Linked DNA regions of Neurospora crassa OR74A. The protein of the gene in region 2 purifies or fractionates together with the protein of the main gene of each other region. This does not show direct contact. Links are inferred from orthologs where the notes say so. Each region holds a gene or a part of one and is shown on either strand. Other genes may lie near its edges.

Region 1 (8,567 bases), on a different chromosome or scaffold from region 2:
ACTTACAGACGCCCACTTCCAGTCCTTCATCTACCAGATTCTTTGCGGTCTCAAGTACATCCACTCGGCAAACGTTCTGCACCGTGATCTCAAGCCCGGTAACCTGCTGGTTAATGCCGACTGCGAGCTCAAGATCTGCGACTTTGGTCTTGCGCGTGGTTTCTCCGTCGACCCCGAGGAGAACGCAGGTTACATGACGGAGTACGTTGCCACGAGATGGTATCGTGCTCCTGAAATCATGTTGTCCTTCCAGAACTATACCAAAGCCAGTATGTCTTTTCCTCAAGCTGCCCCCTTGATATCGTTTTCAGGCTAACACTCATTCCTTAGTTGATGTATGGTCCGTTGGCTGTATCCTTGCCGAGCTTCTCGGTGGCCGCCCATTCTTCAAGGGCAGAGATTACGTCGATCAGCTGAACCAGATCCTGCACATCCTCGGCACACCGAATGAGGAGACCCTCTCCCGTATCGGCTCTCCTAGAGCTCAGGAATACGTCCGCAACCTGCCTCCCATGCCCAAGAAGTCCTTCCAGCAGCTCTTCCCCCAGGCCAACCCCGACGCCCTCGATCTCCTCGACCGCATGCTCGCCTTCGACCCTACCAGCCGTATCAGCGTTGAGGATGCTCTCAAGCACCCCTACCTTGCCATCTGGCACGATGCCAGCGACGAGCCCGACTGCCCTACCCCCTTCAACTTCGACTTTGAGGTTGTCGATGATGTCGGCGAGATGCGCAAGATGATTCTCGATGAAGTCTTCAGGTTCAGACAGCTTGTGCGCACCGTGCCCGGTGGTCAAGGACAGGGCGGTGCTCAACCCCAGGCTCCCGCTCAGGTGCCCATGCCTACTGATGTGCACAGCCAACAATGGACTGCTGAAGATCCTAGGCCACATGAGTATGGCGCGTACAACGGTGGCCTGGAGGCCGAGCTTGGTGGCATGTAAGCAATGACGGAAGGATGAAACCTTTCTATATACGATAATGAGAACGAAACGCTGGTTCGGCAAGCATCTGATGCTCAAACACATCTTGGGTTGATGCCTTGGCTGCAAAAAACAGAAAAGACGACGACATAGTATTATCGTGTTGGAAACCCCCCGAGAAGGGAACGGCTCGCCATTGAGGCGGTCTTCAATGACAGAGTGGGACAGCAGTTCTGGTCGGGCTGTCAACAGTCAGCCCTAGGAAGGCACTTGGAAAAGCAGGCGTCAGAGGCAGACCGGGAGTTCTTTTCGATGTCTGGCCAGATACCAGAGGGTGGTGAGTGGCTCACCGGAGAGACTCTTTCTGTATCTCATTCTATTCTCCTAGTCAGGAGGGAGGACTATGACTAAGTGGAAAGTTGAAGCGATCTTCAGCGAGGACTTTGGAGCGAGATGTTTACGTTGTCATTTATAGTCATAATTCTATTGGATACGCTGAATGTTGACACTGCAATAAAGCTCTTGATCGTGGTGGCGTCGTCCAGAAGAGTCCATGGTCACGCAATAAGCCTGGCATTTGGAATGGCTTTTACTGATTCTCCTAAGGTATCTATCTCGAGGTATCTAGTCCCAACCCCTTATTTTATGTGACCGTATGTATACTTTTGTGAGCCCAGATTAGTACAAAAAGCCAAAAAAGAATGTTTGAACGCCGACGCCATGCAGGGCTTGATATCAAGAAAAAACCATGATACCTAACCGAACCAAACCGAACCAACACATCCGGGATCCTTTACCCTCTCCATTTTTTTCCCCCTTCCCCGTCCTTCCTGCTTTGTGGTATAACAACACATCCCATCCGTTCTTTACATCTTTCTTATGCTCCATCCATCCACACAGCTCATCCGTATCTTTCCATTCCCTTTCCCTTCCAACCATCATGACCTTCTTCTGGTCAAACTGCAGCCTCAAGGGCCTTGTCCGAAGCTCGCTCAGCTTCCTAAGCCTCAGCACCACCAATCATCAAACTCTCCACCATACCATTCGTGATAATCGCCATCTGCGCCTTCTCCACCTCCCTGCTCACCTTACCCGTCATCACAGCAAACTGATCCGCCAACTCGGAGCTGCCGCCCACGTACTCGCTGTAGATATCAAACAGCTGGAACGCCACGTCCACGCACACGGTCGCGTACCGCGGATCCGAGATGTACTTGATGACCCACTTCAACAAAGGCAGGACAGTAACTTCGTCGCGGCCTTCCAGGGCTTCGCGGAGGGCAGACCGGTGGCGCAGCGCCACCAACACGGACAGGGCCGTCACGGGCTGGTATTCCGGAGAGGACAGGTCGAGCACGGCATCCAGACAGGCGGCGTACCGGCCCTCGCGAAAGTCGCGCTGCCACGGCTTGAGCTTGACGCGGCGCTTGCGGCCTCCGGCGGAGTTGGGCGCGTCGGTGGGGATGATCACGTCGACGTTTTCGCCGAGCAAGGCCATGGATTTGTTGGAGGCGGCGTTGCGCTTGCGCTTGGCTTTGGCGGAGTCGATCTTGGCGAGCTTGGAAGAGGCACCTGAAACCATGAGCGCGTCTTCGGCGGCGCGGGCGCGGGCTTTCTCCGCCGTGGCGCCTGACAAACGGGTGCGCAAGGACAAAACGCCGGATTGCATGCCGACTGCTAGGTGGCGGTCTTCGTGGCCTGAGCCAGCGGCGACGACGGAGAGAGAGAGGATGGGCGAGGGGTACTTGGAGCCGGAGACGACGTTCCAGTTGGTGGTTTCAAAGACTTTGACGTGCCCGTCGAGAGAGCCGGAGACAACGCGGCGGCCGTTGGAGGCGAGGCTGAGTGACGTGACGGTCTTTTGGTGGTTGGTGATGAGGCGTAAAGGTTTGGCGGCCACGAGGTCGAGGACGGAGATGGCGGAGCCGGTGGCGGCCAAGAGGGTGGTGCCGCCGGGCAAGGGGAGGACTTCCTCGATGGGGTCGGCGTGCTTGAAGGTCAGCACGGAGCCGGCGGGGGCGCGGGCGTCCCAGACGCGGACGGTCGAGTCGTAGGAGCCGGACACGAGGAGGTTGTTGCGGTCGGGCATGAAGGCGCCGCTGCGGACGTAGTCCTGGTGGCCGGCGAACAGGCGCGAGGGCGCGTTGGAGGGCAGGTCCCAGAGACGGACCGTCTTGTCGTCGGAGCAGGACATGAGCGTCGTCAGCTCGGTAGGTGACCACTTGGTGACCCAGACGGGCTGCTTGTGGACGTGCCAGGTCTTGAGGATGACGGCGCGGGTGCCGGTGCCGACGTCGAAGACCTGCATCTTGCCGGAGTCCTCGCCGGCTACGAGGACGCGGCCGTCGGCGCGGATCTCACCGCTGTGGGCCTGGGAGTCGAAGCGGCCGATGGTCTTGAGCAGCTCGCGCTTGCGGATGGAGAAGATGTCGACGCGGGGGCCCGAGGTGACGGCGAAGAGGTCGTTGGTCTTGGCGGCGGCGACGAGGGAGTGCGAGGCGGCCGAGCCGTTGCTGGAGCCGGGGAAGCTGATGTGCGAGATGGGCCATGCTGCCGTCGAGGTGTGTGATTTCTGGTTCTTGAAGGACTTCCAGTAGCGCTGCTCGGCCGTGATGGGGCTGACGACCGTGGGCAACTTGAGCGTCGCCAGCGGCTGCACTTCGGCTGCCATGGTTACGGATTGGTTATGGGTGGTAGGTTCGTTCCGTCTAGTTCGGGTAGTGTTGAAGAGAGGATACTCGGTTATCGGAATCGGGGGAAGTCGATTAGGGTCGAAATCGGATTGGGGGAGGGAGGCACGCGTCGAGGTCTTGTCGTGGTGGTGACTTTGCGGGGCTCAAAGTTCACGAATTGTTGAAATCTCCAAGTGGGAATTTTAGTTTTTTTGACGGCGATGCGATGCAAAAGCCATTGGTTGGAGCCATCGATTGGAGGCCCCGCCAAGCCGATAAAGTTTACCTACAGCGACTAGGTACCATAGTGACCAGCCCCAGGCCAGAAAACGCCAAGCTTCCAGGGTCCCGTCCTCTTCACAAGTTCCTTCTTTTGATTGGTCTGCTTGGGCTTCCATGTCGTGTGAATGTTTGGCGTTATCTTATCGTGCTGCATCCCCGCCGTCGTGATTGTAAGTCGTGTAAGTTGTCGCCTTTATCAACTGGAGACAGTCGACTGACATATAATTAATTGACTGGAGTAAAAATCCAAGAGTATTTTGATGCATGACACGCTCATTGACAATCATCATCTCCTCGGTATGTGAATCTATGATTAACATGTCATTAGGGATGTGTATCTGGAGCATTGGCCTCGAAATGGTAGCGAGTTGGTAGTCTAGTAACCTGTTGCTGACAACAACAACAACAGCGTGCGTATTGATGATGACTTGAATGTTTTATCTAGCCACAGATGTATTTATAACGAAGCGCGTATGAAAACTACTTGAACCATGAGCTAAGCTTAGAGTGAAGACGGAGAATATCAATTACAAGTCACAACCTTTTCTCTTTACACTCCATTCAGTCAATAACAAGCGCCTGGACAACTCGTATGAAACTGATAACGGTTTGTGCAACAAAAACACCAACGTCACAAGCCGGCTACTCGCAGTTTGTTTTTTTTTTTTTACTCGTGACTTTGAGATGAGAAAACAAAATCATCAAGAGATGAAAAGAAAAAGAAAAAAAGATCAAACTTCGGAGATCATCAAACGCGCTGGCTGCTCGTCGTGATGGAGAAAAGCAATGTGAAACTCGCTTCTCATCCGATCACATGATTAATTTCTTTGTCATGACTGCAACTCAGTTGCCGAGCAGATGAGGTTGAAGACACTGCACCCCCGAGGCGGATGACCGACGAAGGAGAAGGAACACAATGAAGTCTCAGGGCCACCAAAGTGTTCAGGTTGTCAAACTGAAGTTCTAGTCTTTATCTACAATCTGGTGCTTTAACATAGTTGGATAGTATAAGTTATGACGACGACGACGGGGAGGCCCGCTGATACCTACCCATACTGCTGCTGCTGCTAGAGACATGGTACTACTCCTACTCGAATTCTCCTTGAGACCTAGGCCTAGAGGTTTAGATCACGGCTAATTCATGATATAGATACAAGAATAGCGGACAGAGACATGCCGTGTATCCTTTCATTCCTTTTTTTATTTATTTTATTTTCTAACACCGTGAAACTATATTAGTAGTCGCGACCTAAGCATAGTAATTCTTTGATAGGACATTGCTTAAGCGAGGAAACAACTTTAACGCAGCCTCCGACGCAGCGGACTGGACAAATGCCTCGTCCTTTTCCGCGCCGTACCTGTCCAGTCTTGCGTTCATATCTGCAATAGCGGGCGACGGCGCATAAGGGAAATCGCTACCATACAGCACGTGGTCCGGCTTTGCGAACTCCTTTAACAGCGACAGAGTATGGGAGCCCGTCGACAATGCTGTATCAAAGTAGAACCGCTTGGCGTCCTCCATGAACTGGTTGGTAACGTCAGTCGGGTGGTGGCCCTCCTGTGCTGCTACTGCTGCTGCAACAATGGGGGGCGCAATCGAAGGTGGAAGGTACGGCAGTACCGCGGCTGGACGCAGCGCCAGGTAGGGCAAGGTGCCACCGGCGTGAGAGAGGATGATCTTTACGTCGGTGAATTCACGCATGATGCCCGAGATAATCAGGTCGACGGCGGTACGGGTAGTTTCGTGAGGATAGTCAATCATGGGCTGCGGAAGCGAGGGGTTGACCCAGTGGGTGTCCACGGGGTGCGTTGGGTGAACGAAGACGGTGGCGCGGCGTTTGTTGAGCAGGTCCCAGGTGGAGCGGAAGTCCGGGTGGCCTAGATAATGGTTGTCCGATCCGTAGCGAGTGTACAAGATGATGCCGTCGGCCTGCAACTCATCCAGCGCGTGGATGATCTCTGTATGGGCAGCCTCGGGGTCAAGCAAGGACGGAATAGTAGCGAAAAAGCCGTAGCGGGCTGGCTGGGCCGCACGGATCTCGGCGGCCGCTTGGTTAGCTTGTCGACAAAAGCCAGCCTGCTCGACGAGGGGGAGAATTTCAGCACCGGGAGCAGTGATGGTAAGAAAGGCAAAGGATATGCGTTGCTCGTCATTGAAGGACAGGTCCTTCTCCAGGCTCCAGTCCGGGATGGACCATCCCGAGGGGTCACCACCGTTAGCTCGTAAGGCTATGGCAACGTTAGCACTTCCATGGAAAAAGAAAAGAACGGATGCAAACCGCCTTGGACGCACCTTGTGCATAAAACTCCGGGACAAAATGGTGGTGAACGTCAATTCGTTGAGAAGTCATGTTTTCAGGGGCGGGCGCACGTGTTACGCTAGAGCACTGAACAGTCCGAGTTGGAAGAAAAAGAACCAGCAACTGGAGCAGGTTGGCGGTTGAAATTCTGGTCTGCATGTCGACGGGGTATAGTGACATGCCTCTGGGGCTTATATACCAGCGCGATATCACGTATACTTGTCCAGGATGTCGATAGTATGAGGATCTCGGAAAAGTGATGTACCCCAAGGTATCAATAGCTCGTATAGGGATCTCAGAAAAGTTGATATACACCAGGATGTCGATAGTATAAGTAGGGATCTCGGAAAAGTGTATACTCGGAATGCCGATGGTATAGGGATCTTATGCTATACCGACCTCCCAAACTAGTTGAAGATAAAAGAGGAAAATCGTCTATTCGATAACGCATTTCCCACACTCTTTTATATGTCCTCAAGCCTACCTAGAAACCCCTCTCAAAAAAACACCTTCACGACACAGTTGCATCATGTCCAAGCCGGTCATCGTCATCGTGCCAGGTGCTTGGCAGAAGCCCGTCGTTTGGAATGACCTTGTGCAACAACTACACACCGCAGGTTTCGAGGCTATCCATGTCGAACTGCGTACCGTTGGTAGCACAGCGACGCCTCTCCACCGTCTAGCTGACGACGTTGCAGCGGTGCAATACGTGCTCGGCGAGCTTGCCCGCCAGGGCAAGACAGCCTTGTTGTTGGGTCATTCCTCCGGTGGCCTAGTTGGCAGCAACGCGATAAAAGGCCAGGACAATGTCATAGGCATGATCTATTTGGCCACCTTCGCGATCCCTCATGGCAAGGCTTTGCTCGATATGCTCGGTGGAAAACCTCTCCCGTGGATGGAATACAAGGTAAGTCGGTCCGCCATTGTGTGTGAGTCTCACGTCAGCTGCAACTATTGCTAACTGATCAAAAGGGCGACCGGGTTTTCGGGCGTCAAGAAATGTTGGCTGACGTTATGTTCAACGACCTCAACGCCGAAGAACAGCAGAGATGGATGACCGAGATGACGCACACGTCAGCCGCGCTTTTCGCAACGCCCAGTGGCTACGAGCCTTGGAAGGATGGGATACCTTGTGCTTACATCTTTTGTGCCAAGGACCATGCGCTACCACTGGCCGCCCAGCAGAAAATGGCGGCGCAACTTGGACCAGAGGCCAAAGCCGTCACGCTTGAATCAGGCCACTGCCCTTTTCTGAGCATGCCTGAACAGCTGGTAGATGCTATTCAAATGCTCGAAGCGCAAATGCGAGGGACCTATTCATAGACCGCACCGTTTCTAGCCTTCAAGACTCCGCCAGTCTCTCTCTTCTCCTCTCCACTCCACTCCATAGCAATCAATGGATCTCGTTGACGATCCCATACTCTTAGTATAATTTGAAAAAGCGCAGTACAGGCCAGCCTGTCTGTAAGAACATGCTGGCTCAGGCTGAATGATCATTTTCGTTTCATGGACTTCATCGCGTCCACCGGCGCCGTTCTTTCGGAGCAATAAAATAATCGCTTGATGTCCTTGCGCTAACCGCCCATACCAGGAACTAGTCGCAATGAGAGAAAGCTTCCACCGTCGAAACCAGCGGCGCCGACTCCTGTAGCCACTCAGCCACTGTTTGGTAGGCACCCGTTGGGACGTGTCCGGGACGATCTTCCCCGTGTTCCCGCTTGCCGGCCCCGTCCACGTCTGGGGAGTGGGGAACCTCGTGGCTCAACAATGCTGGTCCGATGCTTGCGGCAGGGGTGCATCCATGCATACATTCCGCAGGGTTCACCGAGGGTTCACCGAGAGGAGACTCGGCGGCGGCGGGTGGTCTAAACTCTATCACAGAGGAAGAGAGCTATGTAGTACCCGCAGCTAGGGCAGTCGTCGAAGAGCTCTTTTGTACATGGGAAGGATGTGGCGCGCACGTGCCAGGCCTGATTCGGGATCGCTAGACTGAGACGAGACAGGCGGGTTCGCAACTAGCATCAGGCGTATGTTTTGATATCGAGGCATATCCAGCCTCATGATGGGACGAGGTCGCGCCGGACGTGGCTGGTGGGCGGCTGTTTGGATGGCTGGGCAGTTGCCCAAAACCTCGTGTGCTTGTGGCGGCACCACAGAACCATATGTACTAGAATCAAGCCAAAAGTTGCGATAGACGACGAGATGCACCGTAAAGGCCGAGAATGTCTCGATTGGGGACGCGACGGTAGGCGGGTTAGGGAACATCAAAGAGCTGGCAAAATGGGCATCGGAGTGCGGGCGACATTGGGGCTAGCGGGCTGTAGATGAGGGAGCAGGAGACGAGCGAAGCATGGAGATGAAGATGCGAGAGAGGGACTGAAAGAGGGACG
Region 2 (4,258 bases):
CTTCTTTGGTCCCTTCTCGCTCTAGGCCACACTACCGGGGAACCGGCCATTACTGATACCCATTTCTTTTCGCCCTCACCAGGCCATTAAAGCCGTACACGTCAACATCTATGATGTCCTTGAAACCGATAGAATCATTCAGGCCGGGGGGGAGTCAAGGCCGCAGCGATTCACAACACCTCAGGCGCTCTCAAAGTATTCAATAGGGCATCGCAAGATTTACCCCAGGAATAAGGTCATCGAAGATCAGCCGGAGCACGCGATGCTCAAGCACATTTTCGATCCGGATTTGGAGGAAAAGTTGCAGAGTAAAAGAGAGGAAAGGCTGGGGAAGAAGAAGGAGGCGAAGTTGAAGGGAAAGGAGAAGTCGCAAAGGGAGAAGGAGGTAAAGCAAACGGAAACTGGAAGCACCTGAGGATTGAGGGGATACTGATGCCTCTGAAGACGTGGTTTGATGCATGTCATGCGTACAAGGAGAAGCATGGGAATACATATCGTTGCCATAGGGCTGACACTTGCTGAAACCTTTTAGACGAGCTGGACAGAATTTCATGGCCCAAAACCTTCAAACCCTTAGATTACCACTAGTTTATACTCCGCACTATTTTATCGCCAACTCAACGCACTACACAATGCGCAGATCTAGCTCCTAATCTCCCACATCCTAATCTTGCCCACATCATTGCCCACCGCCAACACATCACCACCATTCTGGTGGCTAAACGCCACAGCAGTGATCCTACCCAAAGGCGTTTGCTCCGTAGGCCAGTTCCTGTAAACGGTGCAGCTAGGCAAGTGCACCAGCCTTAACGCGTCCTTCTTGTGGAAGCTACCAAACGCCAATAGCTGACCGTCCGGCGCGAACGTCACCACTGAGATGGGCGTCGTGAGCTGCTCAAACGTCCTCTGCGGGGTGGGGATGCTCTTAATCTGCACTGTCTCCTCCTTGGACGCCGACGCACCACCCTCCTTCTTAACAGGCTCAACCAAATCATTCCGATCGTAAATGTTCATAATGCCGCTATTCGAGCCCACAGCCACCCAGCGATCGCCACCAATCTGGCTAGGGCCGGTGCCCTTCTGCCCGCCCAGCGCAATCACCGTGCCGCCGATCGATCCTTCGTCGCGCCAAACGCCGACCGTGCGCCGGCTGAGCATGCTCCACTCAGTGACCTGGCCGTTCTTGCCGAGGATGGAGAGGCCGTTGCCGTTGCCCCACCAGGCGAAATCGGAGATGCCGCCGCGGCCATTGGTGCGCGCCTGCGCAATCCACTGCATCGTGCGCACGTTGACGATGTTGATCATGCCGCCGCCCTTCTTCTCGGAGGCGATGAGCCCCAGGTAGCGTCCGCAGGGCGAGGGACGGAAGTGCTCCATGGTACGCTGCTCGCGCTGGTGGCCCTGGATCTGGGTGATCTTCTTGACGGCACCCGACGAGAGGTTCCAGCTGTGGAAGTAGCGCCGGCGACCGGCGAAGATGACGTCGTCGCCATCGGGACCGAGGAACTCGGAGCGCCGAAGGTCGGTGCGCTTGACTTGCACCGACGTGAGGGCCGGGTTCGGAACCGGGTGCGCGGTCGGGTCAACTTGGTGTAGGTACATGATGGAGGAGACGCTGCACGAGAGCAGGATGGGGTGCTTGGGGTGGAAGGACAACGAGCTGACGGACTGCTTGTGAATGTCGGGGATGTCGCGCGAGCGCTGAATGTCGATGGTCTCGGGGCGCAGCTTGCGGCGCTTGCTGCCACGGGCATCGGCGCTGGCGTTGAAAGAGTTGACGTCGCGGAGGAAGGTCTCGAGAGGGAGGGCGGATTCGATGTCGTCTTCGGCGTCACTGTCTTCCTCGGAGGAGGAACCGGCGGCTGAAGATCTTCTCCTCCGGCGCTGGCTGGCGGCCGAGGATTCCTTGGCCCACTCCGGAAGGGGGTATAGTCGGAGGTACTGCGAGCGCAGGCGGCGCGCGTACTCGGTGCCGTTCACGACATCCTCCTCTTCGGACTGACGCAGCTTGCGCAACCGCGAGGCAGCCGCAAGGGATACTGTCAACCGCTCGTCATCGCTGTCCTCCCACGCTGGGGGGTCCTCCTTCTGCTCGTAAGCCTCTAGCGCAGAGGGCGCGGCCTCTGTCTGCTTCTTATTACCGGGAACGCCAGTATCGAACGCGAAGAGGGCGTTATCGTCGACATGTTCGAGGCCAGTCGTGTCATCTTGCTTGTCGGTCCTAATGAGAGCCTTGGAATCGGTAATATCGGCGAGGAAATCGTCGCGGAAAAGCTGGGCGCGGAAGGTGTCGTTATTGCCCAAGACGAATCGTTCGAGGTCTTCTTCGTCAGAGTCCTTCTCTTCAATATCGTACTTTTTCCTCGGGTCGGCAATTGAATCCATATCGGAGTCGTCCTCGTCGTCGTCGTCTACTGACATGCCATCATTGTCGTGCATCTCCTCATCGCTCTCCTCGTCGAATCCGACGAATTCGTTGTCGTCGGAAACTTCGTCTTTCGTCTGTGGCGCCATTTTGTTCTGATTTAGGAGATTGCGCAAAGCCCAGTAACGGGAACTTTTGCTGTGAGATCCGGTCCTGGTTAAATGGAGTTGAAATGGACGGAAATGCCACGACCAGTCGCTAGTGTTTGGTTTGTTTTGAGGTTGGGAACTTTTTTTTTCGTTATCAGCCTTGCAGATCGCAGATCCTGTCCCACTTAATCTGGACCCACTTGCTATCACAAGCACGCCAGCCTTGTTCAAGGAATAAGTTTGAAGTACCCCTACAAAAAAAAAAGTAAAAAAATAAACATATATTAAACTTATCTGATGCCTCAATGCTACTTTCATTAACAATATCTTTGTGATGAAGATGACTTTATGTGAACTCATTCGAAGACAATAAATCTGACCAGACACGAACTAGTACTAAAATTATGAGCCACGCAGAGCAAATATATGATTTCAAAAAGAACATATGCATGAAGAGTACGTGGTGTTTTGGTATCCTTGCAGATGATTCTATGTCATCTCACAGCCACCTTTTTGATTATTGGACGACAAGCAAGTCTAGAGCCTAGCTTAACAACAGAGCACAGCTAATGCCCACCACACACAACAAGTTAAGTGCATGCTTGCAGCTCGCCAGCCCAGCACCACTACCAACATTCGACGTCTCAATAACCGTCGAATCACCAGGAGCAAAGAGGGCGCCGAGTTCGTTAGTGTCTGTCCAATCGATGTCCTCGGGCGCCAGTAACGGGTTATCAAGTGATTGGCAAGACGGGCGGTCGTCGCTTTTGCTGATGCTGTTGGTCACAGAGACGGGAAGATCAAATATCGTGTAGTGGTTCTCGCCATTGAGTCTGAAGCGTTGGTGGATGGAGATCTTTTGAATTGTCAGTGAAATGGCTATCAACACACTCTTAAGCTGACTATTTGGAAAACCCACATTGTAACTGCCACGATCGTTCCCATTCGTACCATCGCCAACCATGCAGTCGGGCCATGTCCACCGGACATGCTTCACGGTGCTACCAGGCTCGGAGAGCATGATATCACCGAGTGTGGCATTGTTGGCCGACGCAGTACCGTTGGTGATGGTCAAGTTTCGGCCCGTTACGTAGCTGTAAAGGAAGATGTTGATGTTGTAGATTTGGCTGGAAGCGTCGTCGCCGTAGGGCGGTAGAGGAAGCTTGCCATTGGCAGAAACATCGAGCGCAATCTCGACATTGTCTACACAAGTTGAAGCTTATTAGTAGCAAGTCCTCAAGTCCTTTGCCGACAGCCAGCCGGGTACTAATAGTACTAACCTCCGCCAAGAGGCGTGTCCGGCTGGGGGGAATCGACGATAACAAAACCAGGGGTGAAAATCTGGCCATTGCTAACGGTAAAGTTGCTCGCAAGACCCTTAGTCGCAAAAAGTGCCGCAGCTGCAAACACAGCGAGAGACAATGATTGTGTCATTCTCAGCAATGTGATTCAACGATCTCGGCGGGTCAAGTCCTTGGAATGCGAAGGGAGCTAAAAGAAAAATGCACTTGTCAAGGAGTAGACCGGACAGCAACTGGGCGTATCCTGGATAAGACAGACAGCTAACTAACCTAACGTATGGATGAAAAGATCTTCAGATTGACGTTTTCGAAAAGGAGAGAAGATAAGAGATGGGAAAGGGAAGCACAAGTATGTAATAAGGAAATCAGAAAGCTTCCAAGATACTGCCGTGAGATTGAAATTGCACCGTGACATTGGTGAGAAGTGACTAACGGAGTCAAGC

Evidence for each region.
Region 1: the proteins of NCU03018 (region 2) and NCU09843 purify together in Saccharomyces cerevisiae (affinity purification with mass spectrometry, with the first as the bait; 4 studies listed by BioGRID). This does not show direct contact. The link is inferred for Neurospora crassa OR74A from reciprocal best matches to the Saccharomyces cerevisiae genes UTP18 and UTP15.

Annotation. Positions count from the first base shown.
Region 1 is NC_026505.1:5,922,458-5,931,024, forward strand, and holds NCU09843 (WD repeat containing protein 57), read right to left. Parts: upstream 3,777-8,567; 5' UTR 3,595-3,776; coding exon 1,924-3,594; 3' UTR 1,495-1,923; downstream 1-1,494. Other genes in the region: mak-1 (mitogen-activated protein kinase MKC1), read left to right, coding at 1-269, 331-944; NCU09844 (amidohydrolase), read right to left, coding at 5,127-6,106, 6,171-6,357; NCU09845 (hypothetical protein), read left to right, coding at 6,707-7,084, 7,150-7,500. UniProt on the Saccharomyces cerevisiae protein: Involved in nucleolar processing of pre-18S ribosomal RNA. Required for optimal pre-ribosomal RNA transcription by RNA polymerase I together with a subset of U3 proteins required for transcription (t-UTPs).
Region 2 is NC_026501.1:8,425,986-8,430,243, reverse strand, and holds NCU03018 (small nucleolar ribonucleoprotein complex subunit), read right to left. Parts: upstream 2,801-4,258; 5' UTR 2,515-2,800; coding exon 643-2,514; 3' UTR 465-642; downstream 1-464. Other genes in the region: NCU03017 (hypothetical protein), read left to right, coding at 26-415; NCU03019 (hypothetical protein), read right to left, coding at 3,059-3,370, 3,434-3,717, 3,795-3,948. UniProt on the Saccharomyces cerevisiae protein: Involved in nucleolar processing of pre-18S ribosomal RNA and ribosome assembly.